4 linked regions of the Saccharomyces cerevisiae S288C genome follow. The main gene of each other region encodes a partner of the protein of the gene in region 3 in a complex. Each region holds a gene or a part of one and is shown on either strand. Other genes may lie near its edges. The genes, in order: GCD2, GCD6, GCD7 and GCN3. A codon is read from its position in the direction of its gene.

Evidence for each region.
Region 1: the proteins of GCD7 (region 3) and GCD2 are in contact, whole or in part, in a cryo-EM structure (PDB 6I7T), measured with the Saccharomyces cerevisiae proteins. Residues at the interface, in NP_013394.1 of Saccharomyces cerevisiae: His183 (codon at 1,133), Ile185 (codon at 1,127), Thr212 (codon at 1,046), Glu217 (codon at 1,031), Phe219 (codon at 1,025), Pro220 (codon at 1,022), Lys224 (codon at 1,010), His227 (codon at 1,001), Glu228 (codon at 998), Lys231 (codon at 989), Ala234 (codon at 980), Asn237 (codon at 971), Ile238 (codon at 968), Glu239 (codon at 965), Thr240 (codon at 962), Leu241 (codon at 959), Val242 (codon at 956), Val243 (codon at 953), Pro244 (codon at 950), Asp245 (codon at 947), Ser246 (codon at 944), Ala247 (codon at 941), Val248 (codon at 938), Phe249 (codon at 935), Ala250 (codon at 932), Leu251 (codon at 929), Ser253 (codon at 923), Arg254 (codon at 920), Ser276 (codon at 854), Gly277 (codon at 851); in NP_011597.1 of Saccharomyces cerevisiae: Leu247 (codon at 1,718), Glu248 (codon at 1,715), Gln249 (codon at 1,712), Tyr403 (codon at 1,250), Ser431 (codon at 1,166), Arg432 (codon at 1,163), Phe435 (codon at 1,154), Arg438 (codon at 1,145), Ala441 (codon at 1,136), Glu442 (codon at 1,133), Arg445 (codon at 1,124), Asn446 (codon at 1,121), Val451 (codon at 1,106), Met452 (codon at 1,103), Tyr453 (codon at 1,100), Ala454 (codon at 1,097), Leu455 (codon at 1,094), Ile456 (codon at 1,091), Thr457 (codon at 1,088), Ser458 (codon at 1,085), Asp460 (codon at 1,079), Thr461 (codon at 1,076), Asn464 (codon at 1,067), Ala487 (codon at 998), Gly488 (codon at 995), Ala490 (codon at 989), Met491 (codon at 986), Met494 (codon at 977), Arg498 (codon at 965), Ser520 (codon at 899).
Region 2: the proteins of GCD7 (region 3) and GCD6 are in contact, whole or in part, in a cryo-EM structure (PDB 6QG2), measured with the Saccharomyces cerevisiae proteins. Residues at the interface, in NP_013394.1 of Saccharomyces cerevisiae: Ser16 (codon at 1,634), Asp23 (codon at 1,613), Lys30 (codon at 1,592), Arg31 (codon at 1,589), Ala77 (codon at 1,451), His78 (codon at 1,448), Pro79 (codon at 1,445), Asn221 (codon at 1,019), Glu310 (codon at 752), Glu314 (codon at 740), Phe315 (codon at 737), Gly316 (codon at 734), Gly317 (codon at 731), Ser318 (codon at 728), Gln319 (codon at 725), Leu322 (codon at 716), Pro323 (codon at 713), Arg324 (codon at 710), Met325 (codon at 707), Asp326 (codon at 704), Pro327 (codon at 701), Arg328 (codon at 698), Lys329 (codon at 695), Asp332 (codon at 686), Thr333 (codon at 683), Ile337 (codon at 671); in NP_010497.3 of Saccharomyces cerevisiae: Glu65 (codon at 2,447), Trp99 (codon at 2,345), Ser172 (codon at 2,126), Thr173 (codon at 2,123), Tyr174 (codon at 2,120), Lys176 (codon at 2,114), Thr177 (codon at 2,111), Asp297 (codon at 1,751), Gly300 (codon at 1,742), Arg301 (codon at 1,739), Trp302 (codon at 1,736), Tyr304 (codon at 1,730), Asp309 (codon at 1,715), Ser310 (codon at 1,712), Asn311 (codon at 1,709), Ile312 (codon at 1,706), Asp314 (codon at 1,700), Tyr320 (codon at 1,682), Glu321 (codon at 1,679), Ser322 (codon at 1,676), His324 (codon at 1,670), Lys341 (codon at 1,619), Cys342 (codon at 1,616).
Region 4: the proteins of GCD7 (region 3) and GCN3 are in contact, whole or in part, in a cryo-EM structure (PDB 6QG2), measured with the Saccharomyces cerevisiae proteins. Residues at the interface, in NP_013394.1 of Saccharomyces cerevisiae: Val113 (codon at 1,343), Pro116 (codon at 1,334), Ser119 (codon at 1,325), Ser120 (codon at 1,322), Met121 (codon at 1,319), Phe122 (codon at 1,316), Leu125 (codon at 1,307), Gln126 (codon at 1,304), Lys127 (codon at 1,301), Val267 (codon at 881), Asn268 (codon at 878), Glu283 (codon at 833), Arg286 (codon at 824), Arg289 (codon at 815), Tyr305 (codon at 767), Phe307 (codon at 761), Asp308 (codon at 758), Lys311 (codon at 749), Pro343 (codon at 653), Glu344 (codon at 650), Asn345 (codon at 647), Pro358 (codon at 608), Ser359 (codon at 605), Phe360 (codon at 602), Tyr362 (codon at 596), Arg363 (codon at 593), Trp366 (codon at 584), His375 (codon at 557); in NP_012951.1 of Saccharomyces cerevisiae: Phe76 (codon at 1,882), Arg79 (codon at 1,891), His82 (codon at 1,900), Leu83 (codon at 1,903), Tyr84 (codon at 1,906), His93 (codon at 1,933), Asn97 (codon at 1,945), Leu100 (codon at 1,954), Ile115 (codon at 1,999), Asp118 (codon at 2,008), Phe119 (codon at 2,011), Ile120 (codon at 2,014), Ala121 (codon at 2,017), His221 (codon at 2,317), Arg224 (codon at 2,326), Glu278 (codon at 2,488), Thr281 (codon at 2,497), Ala282 (codon at 2,500), Gly288 (codon at 2,518), Val289 (codon at 2,521), Leu290 (codon at 2,524), Thr291 (codon at 2,527), Pro292 (codon at 2,530), Ser293 (codon at 2,533), Ala294 (codon at 2,536), Ser296 (codon at 2,542), Glu297 (codon at 2,545), Glu298 (codon at 2,548), Lys301 (codon at 2,557), Met302 (codon at 2,560).

The regions. Positions count from the first base shown.
Region 1 is NC_001139.9:644,360-648,365, forward strand, and holds GCD2 (translation initiation factor eIF2B subunit delta), read right to left. Parts: upstream 2,457-4,006; coding exon 501-2,456; downstream 1-500. Other genes in the region: TOM complex receptor protein TOM20, read left to right, coding at 1-236; mitochondrial 37S ribosomal protein mS44 MRP13, read right to left, coding at 2,764-3,783. UniProt on the Saccharomyces cerevisiae protein: Acts as a component of the translation initiation factor 2B (eIF2B) complex, which catalyzes the exchange of GDP for GTP on the eukaryotic initiation factor 2 (eIF2) complex gamma subunit.
Region 2 is NC_001136.10:882,803-887,365, reverse strand, and holds GCD6 (translation initiation factor eIF2B catalytic subunit epsilon), read right to left. Parts: upstream 2,640-4,563; coding exon 501-2,639; downstream 1-500. Other genes in the region: chaperonin-containing T-complex alpha subunit TCP1, read right to left, coding at 1-134; YDR210C-C (gag protein), read left to right, coding at 3,439-4,563. UniProt on the Saccharomyces cerevisiae protein: Acts as a catalytic component of the translation initiation factor 2B (eIF2B) complex, which catalyzes the exchange of GDP for GTP on eukaryotic initiation factor 2 (eIF2) and is regulated by phosphorylated eIF2.
Region 3 is NC_001144.5:717,784-721,023, forward strand, and holds GCD7 (translation initiation factor eIF2B subunit beta), read right to left. Parts: upstream 1,680-3,240; coding exon 534-1,679; downstream 1-533. Other genes in the region: ubiquinone biosynthesis protein COQ11, read right to left, coding at 1-195; Sec63 complex subunit SEC72, read right to left, coding at 2,006-2,587; Ran GTPase GSP1, read right to left, coding at 2,988-3,240. UniProt on the Saccharomyces cerevisiae protein: Acts as a component of the translation initiation factor 2B (eIF2B) complex, which catalyzes the exchange of GDP for GTP on the eukaryotic initiation factor 2 (eIF2) complex gamma subunit.
Region 4 is NC_001143.9:488,156-491,311, reverse strand, and holds GCN3 (translation initiation factor eIF2B subunit alpha), read left to right. Parts: upstream 1-1,656; coding exon 1,657-2,574; downstream 2,575-3,156. Other genes in the region: RPC37 (DNA-directed RNA polymerase III subunit C37), read right to left, coding at 2,694-3,156. UniProt on the Saccharomyces cerevisiae protein: Acts as a component of the translation initiation factor 2B (eIF2B) complex, which catalyzes the exchange of GDP for GTP on the eukaryotic initiation factor 2 (eIF2) complex gamma subunit.

The sequences.
Region 1 (4,006 bases), on a different chromosome or scaffold from region 3:
AACAAGGTAAGGAACTGGAAGCAGCCTCTAAGTTTTATAAAGCATTGACTGTATACCCTCAGCCAGCCGATTTATTGGGAATTTACCAAAGATCCATTCCTGAAGCCATTTACGAATATATTATATTAATGATTGCCATCTTGCCTCCTGCTAATGTGGCTTCTTTCGTTAAAGGAGTTGTTGGAAGCAAGGCCGAATCTGATGCGGTTGCTGAAGCTAACGATATCGATGACTGAGAGTAACATTTTGCTTGCTTTTTTTCTCCGTTTTTGTTTCTTTTACTCTGTATATAGCCCTATATAATTACATCATTTCTCTAGCCTAAATCTTGTTATATATACCAAGCTTTTTGGAAAGCTAAGGATAAAAACAATTCTTTTCATTAGATGTATTTTTTCATCGTATTAGGTGTAATATATATATATATGTATATATATATATATATATAATATATATGTAGTATACACACGTGGACGACCATTAACGAATGTTGTATATGCTTATGCGGAACCTTTGTACTCTCTTAAAATAACAGGGACAGATGAAGGTGGCAAAGCGCCGAATTCAGTGATCACTTTTTTAATATATTCTGGTGGTGTTAAATCGTATAAGATGTTGACAATATTTAACGAAGGTAACTCTTGCCAACCATCCAAAATATTTTTGCTGTTGCTGTCTTCTTCATTACTGGCGTCCTTGCTTTCTCCTTCAGATCCTTTCTTACCGCCAATTTTATTACCCTTTGGCTTATTCTCCATTGCTAGCTTTTTCTTTTCAAATTTTCTTTCTTTGATAAATTGGTTTAATAACGCACCTTTATTACCGCGTCTCTCGACTGGATTTTCGTAATCTATATTAACCAGGTCATTTGGATCTGCCAGTTCATTAAATGTGACACTATCCAATTGTACTCTTTGTGAAAACTTCAAACTTTCGCAGCAGACTAATACAGGTATATTTCTTCTCTTAGCGCTCATAGCCAACATTGCTGTCCCAGCTCTTGAATATAGGAACCCATTAGATAGGATAGAATGGGCTCCTAAAAACACATAGTCCACATCCATATTGAATATCGTATCCAAACTTGTAATAAGTGCATACATAACATTGACACCAGCATTTCTTAAAGTTTCTGCCATTTTCCGCCCTTCAAATAGTGGTCTCGAATCGACGACAATCACTTTGATGTTTTTCTTTAAACTGATTGCATTATGCAGTAACAGTTCAGTTAGAACCTTTGATGAACCATATGTCACAATAGTAGTAGATTCTTCAATTTGTGTAGAGGCATTGTCTATAATTAGTTGATCAGCCAGTTCGATTTTTTCTTTAGCAAACTGCCCAATTTTCTCACAAAGGTCTTTTTTGGCGGCTTTGTCGGGGGTAGATGGGTCAATTAATGAAATTTCTTGCTTTAACCATCTGATAGCATTACCCATAGTAACACTTAAAGGTCTAGCTTTTTTCAAAAGATCAATCTGGTGTGACAAATAACTTGTTAAGTTACGTGACAAGGTAGTTCCCTTAGGTGTTTGATAGTCTTTGATAACAATTTGGAAAACCTCTAGCATGGCTATGCAACGTGGGATGGATCCCACGATTTTATAGTGTGCTAGATGAGAAGTTAATAATAATATCGACGGATGGATAAGGTCTTTATTCAATAAAAGTTCCTTAACAGACGATATCAAGCTGGAGTTGTCAAATGATTGTTCTAACACGGTAGGGATCACTGACGATATACCGGGAATGACATTAAACTCACCAGCCTCTAACGAGATAGATGCCAATGTCTTGGCAACATCAGAAGCGTTTGATGAAGCAATCTCTTGTTGTATAGCTGTTGGAGTATTTGTTGACGCAGAACTGGTACCGGCAGAGAGTGCTGCAGAAGAGGCAGGAAGAGTCGTTGTTGTTGAAGCTGGAGCTGATGCAGATACAGTAGACGACGCGTTTGGACCCACGGGCATCAAGGAAGAAGCCGTTAATACGTTAGATCCTGATAATGCACTAGCCACCACGGGGACCATCAACCCAGCAGCGGTGATTCGCGAAGTTTTTGGAGATGATACTGCACTGGTTAAAGCTAAAATTGTCGCTCTTCTTTCTTCAGTAGTTTCCAGATGACCAAAAAGTGTGCTCTTTTTCACGTTTCGTTCATTTTGTTTTTTTTTATTGGCATTTTTTTGCTTTTGCTCTCTTTTCTGTTGTTGCTCACGTTGTAGTTGTTTCTTCTCTTTTTTCATTTGTGCTTGTTGTTGCTGTTGTTCAATGGATATACCATTAGCCTGCTTCATTGCAGCTCTCTTTGCAGCTTTTTCTTGTTTCTTTAGTTCTTTTAGCTCCTTGTTTGTTAATTTCTTTTCTCCATTAGCTGCAGCTGTAGTTGTTGGAGTAGCTTGTTTAGCTTTACTTGGCGGTGTAGCCGACCTAGATTTGGCTTCCGATTCGCTCATAGCAATTTGATTATCGACGCTTCTTTGACAACGTATTTCTTACGTGGTGAAAATAAGATCTTATGCACTTACGCTGATTATCTATAGCTGGTGATGCCTTGTTGTAGAATACTCATTTTCACTAAACTCGAAAAAAAAAAATTGAAAAATTGGAAAAAAGCGAGAGGTACTGAAAATTGTGAAGAGATTCCCGGGTAAATATAAACATAATTAATACAATAATAGCAATATATGTGACGAACTGTGTTCTACTTTTTAGTATTTACAGGTATGTTTATTTATATATTTCCTATGGGGTGTTTTGGTACTATTTTTCCTCTTTTTCGGTGGATTCCTGAGGAGGTGGTGTTTCCAACAGTCCCAACGCTTTCAAATGCGTGTCGTATGGATCGCTGGATTCACTTAATGCATTTTGATATTGGCGTATAAATTCTTGCAATTCTAGATATTGAGCATTGTGTTGATCGATGTCCAATAATGTTCTTGCAATAAGGTATATCCCCTCGTATTTGCTTAGCAAGTCCTTTAGTTCCGCGCCACTTGATGAATTGGGGATATCTGGTAAACTAATATCTACAGGTTGCAAGCCCGTCAGCTCTGGGGTAAATCCAATCTGTCTACCTAATGTTGCAACAAGAATATTTGCTAGTCCAGTATTATTTTTTCTATTTAATACCTTTTTCCAAGCAACCTGCAGTTTCCTCTGAGCAATTTCTGCATCTTTATAGTCTTTCAACCTATTTCGATGCAAAGCACACATGATATTAGTATTAAAAAAATGCTCGATATCAAATACGGATGGATTTTGCGCTTTGAGAAACTTGTGCTCAATACCATATAAGAGTCCTACCATGTGCGCATATTTACCGATTTTGAAAAATGACGCAGTCAACATCTTTTGAACATGAATTGGTGAGATGTACGTCCAAATAGCGCGCTTTCTTATGGAGGTCCCTGTCCATTCTTTGAACCAATCTAGTAGTTCTGTCGAGTTGGGTTCAACCGAATAAATAAAATCATTTAACGTTTGCTTCGACAGTGGCTTTACGGGAGGTCTCGGTTGTAATGGTTCCCTTGTTTTTGGATCCCTAATATCTTTAGTTAACAATATCTGAGCATTCTTGGGACGGTAAATGAATGGTTTTAGTTTCGCATCTGTCTTGTGGTATATCAAGAATTCATCCAGCTTTGCTTTCGCAATTTCGCCGGTAGATGCAAAACGTCTCCAAACTGTACTTCTGAACATTTTCTTGTTGGTCGTTGCTCGGTGCAATGCCCTTATCAACAGTATTGGTCCCTCATTAATCACCACTGTTATGGTTCCCATTTTCTTAATAAGAAAGGTTTAGCTTTTTTTCAGCACATTTTCTATTACCCTGCATGGTGAGTATCAAATAAGTGCCAATAAATTGGGTATGAATACAACTAAATACATTGACAAAGTGTTCACAACGCATCGAAGCGCTAGACTTGCAAATGTGATGAGGATATATGATATTTTTGGGATATTTTATTTGTTCTTATATATTAAGTAGTTGATGTTGTCACTG
Region 2 (4,563 bases), on a different chromosome or scaffold from region 3:
CCTAAAGATGACTTGACGACGTTAGCCACAGCCATAGTAGCCAAAACATTCTGATTACGAATATCATCACCACTTATTTTTTCACCTCCTAGGAAAAGGGTATCTGAGCGCGAGTTATTGAATAATTGGGACATCGCTAAGTTATTACAAATATAAAAGTCTTCTGTCTATTGTTATTGTCCCTTTCTTGTACTCTCTCAGTGGCCTCTCTTTTGCTTAAGTTATTTACTCTTCATGTGATACCACCGCATTTCAATTTTTTTTTTTTTCAGTTCTTTGCCACTTAGGACAAGGTCCCTCGGCAAGTGAAAAAAAAAAATCTGAGATTATTATTTCAGTAGTACTACTGAGGATAAAAACTAATATGATAAAAAATATATATATATTTGCTTTTTGCTTCTGTAACATGTAAATTACTAAATCTATATAGCGCTCACCTTTTTCTCATATTAAAGCCTTTTTATGGTAATACATGATTATGCAGGGTACTGCGTGGACTTTTATTCCTCTTCTGAGGAAGATTCTTCGTCAGCATTCTGTAACCACTCAACCCACTTTACAGTTAATTTCTTGACTTCATCATAGCGAGGGTCAGTAGAAACATTATCCCACCATTTATAAATGACATCCTCCTCAATTATGTCATTATCGTATAGAGAAACCAATGCACTAAATAGAATCAAATCCGGTTTGTCAAAACTCTGTTCTACAATTTTTTCCATTATGATGTTCATCAAATCAATATACTCTTCTTCATCAAAGGCTTGTCTCTTGAACAACAGTCCCCACTGATTAAAAACCTTCACCACAGCGTCCTTGGGACCTAATGTTTGAGTTGCAATAAAGTGGTAAACTCTTCTCAATAATGCAGTTATTGTTGCTATTCTCACCTCATGATATGTCACGTTCATACTCATTCTCAAGGTGTTCAATTCTAATAATGCTGTGTCAAGATCATGATTGTTTTCCATAGCACGCTCCACGGTGGCAATACCTTCTTTCTCAAAATCTTCGTCCTCAAATTCAGAATCAATTTCTTCTCTATCCGTGTATATACTATTGACAGACATCGTTCTTCTTTTCTTTGTCTTTTTAGTGGCGGAAGAAATTGAATCGTCACTTAAGTATAACTCATCTAATTGGTTACTCAAAGTGTTTATTTCTTTGCAGGCTTCTGTAGAACTATCTTCATCGTCAGACACCTCGCTTTCGTAAATATAACCAACACCCTTATCTCCAACAATAGAAACGGCTAGTGTCTGATCATCAAGGTCTTGGTCAAACTGCTCATTGCTTTCATTATCATACATTCTTGAGCCGGCATTTTTTAATGGACTGGCAGATATTTTTGTGTTTCTATCTAAATCCATATTATCATCAATTTTAACGTTGAAACCAATTATACAGCCATCATTTAGGCGTACATTACTCCCTAACGTGGCATTAGAGGCAATTAATGAATGGTCAATTATACTGTTATTTCCGATGATACAGTCATCCCAAATGAAACTGTTCTTGATTCTAATATTTTCACCGATTTGGCAGTTCCTTCCAATCACGGAATTCTCAATTTTCGTACCCTCTCCGATTTTTGTTCCTGATCCAATTGCAGTGCACTTACCAATTTTACAGGATTGGGCCAAAACAACGTCTTTTTCCTTGTATATATGTCTTGATTCATAAGAATACGTTTGATCGTCCTGTATGTTAGAGTCTAAGACCAAGGGATAACACCATCTACCTAAAAAGTCTTGAGAAATGGTGTCGTAAGTTTGCCAACTTTCAACTCTTACAGCATATTCGTCCGTCAAATAGGCATATATATGCTTTCCCAATATATCGCTTGAAATGACACCTTTAACAAAGTCTGTCCTTAATGATTGGTAGTCAAAATTTTCTTGAAATATCAAAGGTACATGAGATGTACAAATGTCAATTCTACAATCGATGAGGTCATTCCTTATGACAAATTCATCGACATTATCCAACAATTCTGGGTCAATCTGAATGGAAGTCTTCTCTCTAGAGCTTGGTAATGGTAAATCTTGGTAATAAATACACCTACTGGTGGATTTGTCTAAGACAAATGCGGCAGGCTCAATAGTTCTTGTTTTTGGATAGGTACTCGCTTTGCTCAAACACATTGTCGAGATGTGATCTTTATCTTGCAAATGCATTTTTTTGTGAAATTCTAGCATTTTGCTGAAATCGATGTTAGTCAATACATCACCACTGACTAAAATAAAATCTCCAGTAATGATACCTCTATTATCTAGATCTCTCATAACATCACCCGTACATCTAGCTTCTGGAGACATAATGGTGGTAATTTTAAATGGAGACCAAGGCAAGTTCCACTTAGAATTCTCAATATAGTCATTAATTTGGTTGGCATGAGAAGAGCAAATTAAGAAAACTTCATGTACGCCAGCCTTAGCCAAAAATTCTAAGGTGTATTCAATGAGAGGTACGTTAGCCAGTGGCAGCAAACACCTTGGCTTGACAGCTGTCAGTGGCATAAACCTAGTTTCATAAGAGTCTGTCAAGACAACGGCCTGGAGACGATCTTCAACATCCATATCAGAGTTCTTTCCATGGTTGCCTAGTCCACTTTTCTTTTGTCCCTTTTTTCCAGCCATCTTTTGCCTTATGAGTGGTTTCTATTCTATTTTTAACACAAGACCACTTTTAGTTATTTTTATACTTATCCCACAAGGTGGTCCATCTGCCATCTTTGAATTGGTGATTTAACTCTTCGCATTAATCTACTGAAAAAAAAAAAAAAAAAAAAAAGAACTGAAAACCATCTAAAGTCAAATAAGCTCATGTAATACGGGCATGTTGCAAACGCGTGTGAAAAAAAAAGAGAAAGTGCTCGAGGTGGGGTTTGAACCCACGACGGTCGCGTTGCTTTTAAAGGCCTGTTTGAAAGGTCTTTGGCACAGAAACTTCGGAAACCGAATGTTGCTATAAGCACGAAGCTCTAACCACTGAGCTACACGAGCATTTTCGAAAGAGACGTAAATAACATTGTTATTTATACTGGAATTAGTACTAATAATTTTATTAAAAAAAAAAATAGCTCTTTCTGAGAATTCTTTGAATTTTGGGAAAATTGTCGGGATATTAGTGTTAAAGAGGCCATTGTTGGAATAAAAATCAACTATCATCTACTAACTAGTATTTACGTTACTAGTATATTATCATATACGGTGTTAGAAGATGACGCAAATGATGAGAAATAGTCATCTAAATTAGTGGAAGCTGAAACGCAAGGATTGATAATGTAATAGGATCAATGAATATTAACATATAAAACGATGATAATAATATTTATAGAATTGTGTAGAATTGCAGATTCCCTTTTATGGATTCCTAAATCCTCGAGGAGAACTTCTAGTATATTCTGTATACCTAATATTATAGCCTTTATCAACAATGGAATCCCAACAATTATCTAATTACCCACATATATCTCATGGTAGCGCCTGTGCTTCGGTTACTTCTAAGGAAGTCCACACAAATCAAGATCCGTTAGACGTTTCAGCTTCCAAAATTCAAGAATATGATAAGGCTTCCACTAAGGCTAACTCTCAACAGACAACAACACCTGCTTCATCAGCTGTTCCAGAGAACCCCCATCATGCCTCTCCTCAACCTGCTTCAGTACCACCTCCACAGAATGGGCCGTACCCACAGCAGTGCATGATGACCCAAAACCAAGCCAATCCATCTGGTTGGTCATTTTACGGACACCCATCTATGATTCCGTATACACCTTATCAAATGTCGCCTATGTACTTTCCACCTGGGCCACAATCACAGTTTCCGCAGTATCCATCATCAGTTGGAACGCCTCTGAGCACTCCATCACCTGAGTCAGGTAATACATTTACTGATTCATCCTCAGCGGACTCTGATATGACATCCACTAAAAAATATGTCAGACCACCACCAATGTTAACCTCACCTAATGACTTTCCAAATTGGGTTAAAACATACATCAAATTTTTACAAAACTCGAATCTCGGTGGTATTATTCCGACAGTAAACGGAAAACCCGTACGTCAGATCACTGATGATGAACTCACCTTCTTGTATAACACTTTTCAAATATTTGCTCCCTCTCAATTCCTACCTACCTGGGTCAAAGACATCCTATCCGTTGATTATACGGATATCATGAAAATTCTTTCCAAAAGTATTGAAAAAATGCAATCTGATACCCAAGAGGCAAACGACATTGTGACCCTGGCAAATTTGCAATATAATGGCAGTACACCTGCAGATGCATTTGAAACAAAAGTCACAAACATTATCGACAGACTGAACAATAATGGCATTCATATCAATAACAAGGTCGCATGCCAATTAATTATGAGAGGTCTATCTGGCGAATATAAATTTTTACGCTACACACGTCATCGACATCTAAATATGACAGTCGCTGAACTGTTCTTAGATATCCATGCTATTTATGAAGAACAACAGGGATCGAGAAACAGCAAACCTAATTACAGGAGAAATCGGAGTGATGAGAAGAATGATTCTCGCAGCTATACG
Region 3 (3,240 bases):
AGAATCAGGCTTAAAAATGTCAGCAGCGGTCCATTGGACCTCCTGCATCCATTGCTTATCATTTAATTCATTGCTATGAGGAGCTTTACCGGACCTTGACACAGAAACGACTTGGTAGCCCGAAGTCACTGCTTCTTGACAAATTCTTTTACCTAAAAATCCATTGCCTCCAAAAACTATAAGCTTTGGTATCATTTTCTACTTCAGTTCAAGCTTTAGCTGTATTTTTGTATACGATACATATTTCCCTTATTTTTTTATTTTTTCAATGTTTTCCTGTTTTTCTATTATGCAAAAGCGACAAGATGGCATTACGAGGAGACACTCAACTAAAAAAAAAAAATGAGTCAAATTGCCAGACTTTGTAGAGAAGTAAAAAGTTAATGCTAAGATGCTCTTTATGTATTAGTCTTTTAACATATTCAAGGATACGTAAATATTCTGATTATATACTAATAATTAATAATAAAAAAATTGTTTTGATCTACAAGATTTTTATTTATTTTCATGAGTAATGTACAAAAGACACATCATCACGCCTTATTTTTATCCAAATGCACATCAATTTGCTTGTAATTATCCCACGCAATACGATATATAAAACTTGGATTGAACCCACCGACGTTTGTAATGTAGATATCAATATTTTCAGGCGGAACATAATCGGTAATTTGATTAACTGTATCTAATCTTTTTCTTGGATCCATTCTAGGTAATATACGTTGGGACCCACCAAATTCGACAAACTTCTCTACGTCGAACGGATATAGAGGAGAAAGCTTATACAAACCTGCAACAGCAAATACAGGGGTTCTAAATTCTCGGGCGCATTCACAAACGGATGATACACCTGAATTTGACGAGATAGTCCCCCCATTGACAAAAACGGCTTTAGTGCCGATAATAACCTTACCCACACGGGACATTAAAGCAAAAACAGCTGAGTCTGGGACTACTAGGGTTTCTATGTTGTGCTGTGCTAATTTTTTGGCAAACTCATGTGCATTCTTGGTGTTATTAGGGAACCCCTCTGTAACTAAAACCGTAAATGTTCTATTACTACGTTCGCGAGCAGTAATCAGAAATTTTAATACGGTTTTTGAATCAGGTGTGGGAGTTAATAAAATCTCATGATCGTGAATCAAATCAATAGCAATTTGCTGAATACCTTCATCAATGTTTTTTATCTCATCTATAAGATCCTTGATACCCTGAATGGCTACTTGACGGTAATCAGTCTTGGTTTTCATACTAGAGCTCCCTGAACTATTTTTTCTATTCTGATGAGGTTGCTCCGGTTTCTGTAATAAATTAAACATAGAGGAAATCAAAGGTTCAGCAACGGATGTGGATGTGACAGTTGTGCTCATAGTGTCTTCTTCTACTTCATCCCTCAAAACAGCCAGTATTCTTCTAATTACGTTACCGCAACTGAAAGCAGTAGGATGAGCTTTTTCTAGACTATTACCTAAATCTCTGATTTGTTCAATAAGGTCATTAACATGGTTCCAACGAGCTGCAGAGATAAATCGCATTAACAGTTGTAAAGTTTCCAAGGCGATGGCGTATGAACCTTGCACTTGTCTTCTTTTTAACTTAGCAACGAAAGTGTCAATGGTAACATTCACATCAGATGTTGCCGCATTCGGATGTACTGAAGTGAATGCTTGAGAGGACATCTTATGTTGGGCAAAAGTTCGAAAGTTGGCGTGTTGTGTTTACTGGTTCCGCACGAGTAATGAATGGTCTGTTTCATTTATGAAGGTTTTTTCTATGTCCATTTTTTTTTTTCAGCATCACGAAGAAAAAAAGCTTGCGGTTGGGAAGCAGAGGTATCATATACTCAAGCTGTATAGTTCAAAGCCTTTCATAAAGGCTATTCCTTAGTATATATGATAATGGGCTTGCTATGTGTTTTTGAATCTATCTAAAATTTCTTGCTATGTAGTCGTGTGTAGCATAGAGACATATCAAGAAAAGGCTAAAATATCTTCGGTTATGCACCTTATTCACCGTTATATTCGGCCAGATTTCTTGCAGTTTCTATTAAAAGGGCTCTAAGTTTCATATCCTCTGGGGCTAAAGCTAAACCTCTCTCGCATGTTGCCCTAGCCTCTTCCCACTGTCTCAATTTTAGCAAACAGTCCGCCTTCCTGACAAATACGTCTGGTTGGATAAGTCCCGTACCAAGTAAGAAATCCAAGTCTTGCAACGCCTCTAAATGCTTTCCGAGTATTAAACATAAATCTATTTTACTACGAAGCATAAAGTGTAGCTCTGGTAGCTGAATAGCAAAAGCTTCCCAAGGCGCTCTTTTTCTTTGTGCCATTTCGATTGCTAAAGAAACATTCTTCAATGCCTCATTCAATTTTTTTTGTTGTAAATTCTTCATACCACTTTCAAATAAACCCTTGATCATTTTGCTTAGAGCTTCATTCGGTTGTGGTGTAAAATTTGGGTTGGTTTCTCCAATCAAAGATGTAGTGAGAACATTTATTTGATCGATATTAGTTTCGGTAGATAGTGCAACAACAGCATCACTCGCAGTGATCAGTTTACTGTTTGCATTGTATTCAAGGGTAACCATGGTTGAATAAGCTTGCTTTGGTATGCCTTTAACGCAAGTTGAAGGAGACGTTTCTTTGATTTTAAGGCTATTGGTTTTATGTTCAAAGATATAATCTAATTGTTACGTGTGCTCCTACATCCGTTTGAAACGATCCATAAACGATCTAAAAAATATAATATTAGACAAGCCAAATACGTTTAAATATACTTAAATCACAGCATATTCACATTCAACTATTTGTTATATATTTAAATCTGTTTTATAAAAGACAGGAGTACCAGTTAGTTTGTGTTTTCTTGTTGCAATTATAAAATCTTCAAAATCATGTGGATTTTTATTGAATTTCTATATCGAGATGAATGTAAATATGTATACAGTTTAGGGTAGGGAAAAAAGAAAGCTTGTTCTCGTTTGTCCCTTATAAATCAGCATCATCTTCATCAGGCAATGGCAAAGCAGTAGCTTGTTCCATTTCTTGTTGGTATTGTTGCATCAATTGTTCATCGACTTGGACTTCTGGTGGGGCTAAAGCTGGAGAAGCAACAAATTCTAATTGTGGGTTACCAGCCAATTTTCTGGCCAACCATAAGAAAGGCTTTTCAAAGTTGTAGTTGGACTTGGCAGAAATATCGTAGTATTGCAAGTTTTTCTTTCTGTGGAAAGTGATAGTC
Region 4 (3,156 bases), on a different chromosome or scaffold from region 3:
GATATATATGCCCTTTCTTTGCACACAATGTCTCTTTATTGCCGTTTGTCATTTTGTTTTTTTTATTTTTATGTTGAATTTAGATACACCATTGTGCATACATCTTATTTTTCCCAAACGGTGTAACAATGCCTCGGAAACCTGATGACGAATTGCTAAAATAATACGGCATTGTACGGCACCAGGACTGGCAACGTAGCATTTCCAATATTATAATATTTTTACTCAATAACTGAAAAGATAATAAGAAAATTATAAAAGTAAAAAAATTCTTCCCCGCCAGGACTTGAACCTGGAATCTTCTGGTTCGTAGCCAGACGCCGTGACCATTGGGCCACGAGGAACAAGAATTATTAAGAGACATTAAAAATTGAGAACCCTAAGTATCAGCACTATTTATTGCATGATTTTTTACCTAATATAGTAGTTCAAATTACCAGACCCAACTAATCCTGCTCTAAGAAGTAAGAAATGTGTGAATTTTGAAATAATTGTTGGGTTCCATTGTGAATAAAAGCTATCATTGAGAAATGTTTGAATAATATGATAATTACTGGTGTTCCATTATTGTTGAAGGCTATGATACACAATATACTAAAAGTTCTCTTCGAGGATATTAGAAATGCGGAAGAAGGAATCGGTATTCATGAATAGTAATGTTATTGTCTCGTTTTTTTACTTTATATGCTTATTCTTTATCTTGTTACGTTATCAATGCTTGCATTTCAGCTTCTATTATATTTAATAACCGTTTCTCATTCTTAATGTCATCTTCTTACACTGTGTATGAGAACATACTGCTAATTTGTGTGCTAGTGCATAGATGGTAGTTAATTCTTATTCAGACAAAAAGTTTTAGTATCTGATCTGTTGTTAAACATGTTAGATAAGTATTTTTTGGAATAAAGATCCACTATCGTATATTGGCTAGCGGTCGTGACACTAATATGTTATTACATACTGCATAAATAGAATACACAAATCGTGAGGTACAGTCATCCAATGTTGTGGAAGTCGATACTCAAGACCTAAAGAAAAATAAAATTTCTGAATGAAAAACATAACGATAGTAAAAATGAGCGGTATGTTATGACATAGGAGATAGAAGAACAAAACTGATCTGATCAAATTATTTTAAGAATATTTTACTAGTATGTTTACTACATGACAATCTGCAGCAGTGCCAGCTACATGGTGATCTCTCCAAAACAGACCAAACAATTTGCGCTTGTATTGCTTTTCAAAATAAAACTAAACATATGTAATTGTGCTTACAAGAATTGCTAGCTATATCTTATGTTGGTAATAGATAACGATTAGTAATACCTTTTATGAGAAAGAATAAGGAGGCAATGCCATCATTTTCGCCACATTAAGAGTGCACGACTCTATCCAGGGAATTTGATACAACACAGCAACATTGTCGCCATATTTAAAGCTTTCTACATAGCATAATGTTTTTTTTTTTTTACAATAGATAAATTTCATCCGGAAGAAAAATGAAAAAAAAATGAAAAAATTGGTGAAGTTTATGGTGTAAAATGAGAATCATACTGCTCAAATAGTGACAAAGCCATCATTAATCATAGATTTCTTCATAGTAATTGATAGAAAGAATTTTAAAAGTCCTACGTATACCAGAAATCGAGAGGAAGGATGTCGGAGTTTAATATTACAGAAACTTATCTAAGGTTTTTAGAAGAAGATACTGAGATGACAATGCCGATTGCTGCCATTGAAGCATTGGTCACGCTATTAAGAATAAAAACACCAGAAACAGCGGCAGAAATGATTAATACAATAAAAAGCTCCACGGAAGAACTTATTAAATCCATTCCGAACTCAGTTTCCCTGAGAGCCGGTTGTGATATTTTCATGAGATTTGTCTTAAGAAATCTTCATTTATACGGTGATTGGGAAAACTGTAAACAACATTTGATTGAAAATGGCCAGCTTTTTGTATCGAGAGCCAAAAAATCGCGTAACAAGATTGCAGAAATAGGGGTGGATTTCATAGCTGATGATGATATCATCTTGGTACATGGTTATTCGAGAGCAGTATTTTCTTTATTAAATCATGCAGCAAATAAGTTTATTAGGTTCAGATGTGTGGTGACAGAATCAAGACCTAGCAAACAAGGGAACCAGCTATATACTTTACTTGAACAAAAGGGCATACCCGTGACTCTTATTGTCGATAGCGCGGTTGGAGCGGTAATCGATAAGGTTGACAAAGTGTTCGTTGGTGCTGAGGGTGTTGCTGAATCAGGTGGTATTATAAATCTCGTGGGTACCTATTCAGTGGGTGTTTTAGCACATAATGCAAGAAAACCATTCTATGTGGTCACTGAAAGTCACAAATTTGTTCGTATGTTTCCATTGTCTTCAGATGATCTACCTATGGCCGGCCCTCCTTTGGATTTCACACGTCGTACGGACGATCTAGAAGATGCATTGCGTGGGCCCACGATCGACTATACCGCCCAAGAATACATTACTGCATTGATTACAGATTTAGGGGTCCTCACTCCAAGTGCCGTTTCAGAAGAGTTAATCAAGATGTGGTATGATTAAAAAAAATCACATAATATATGCACGCAATGACTTAATAGAAAAGGAGAAAAAGCGCAAGAGCATCCTTTATGTGAAACTGATGTCTGATGCTGTTCTTTCTTCATGATGCATTATGTACTTCAAACTAGATTATCTATATAGTCTTCTTGTTTCTCTAAGGCTACTAAAGTTTTATCTTCAGCTTCTTTCACGATAGTATCTTTGAACTGTTCAAACGTGCCTTCTGCCCAGGTCAATTCAATATTAGCCTCTTCATCGGCGACTTTATGTGCCAGCAGGGAGCCAGTGAGTCTGTTTTGCGAAGGGTCGTTGACGCTCTTTACAGACATGGTAACCACTTGAGCGCGTTGTGATGAAGGATTAGGGTTCCTTCTGGCGTCCTCTTGCTTTCTTGTTACATTTGCGTCGTCGATATATTTGAAAAATGGCTTCAATTGTGCTACCCTCTCAATAGGTACCAAATAAACCTGCATATCTTTGACAAATGCTGCATATTGGCCATTGTTTTCCACACCCACGCCTTTTAATGTTTGGACATTAACCCCATTCCATTCGCTCTCAGCCTTATCCTTGTTATAGAAG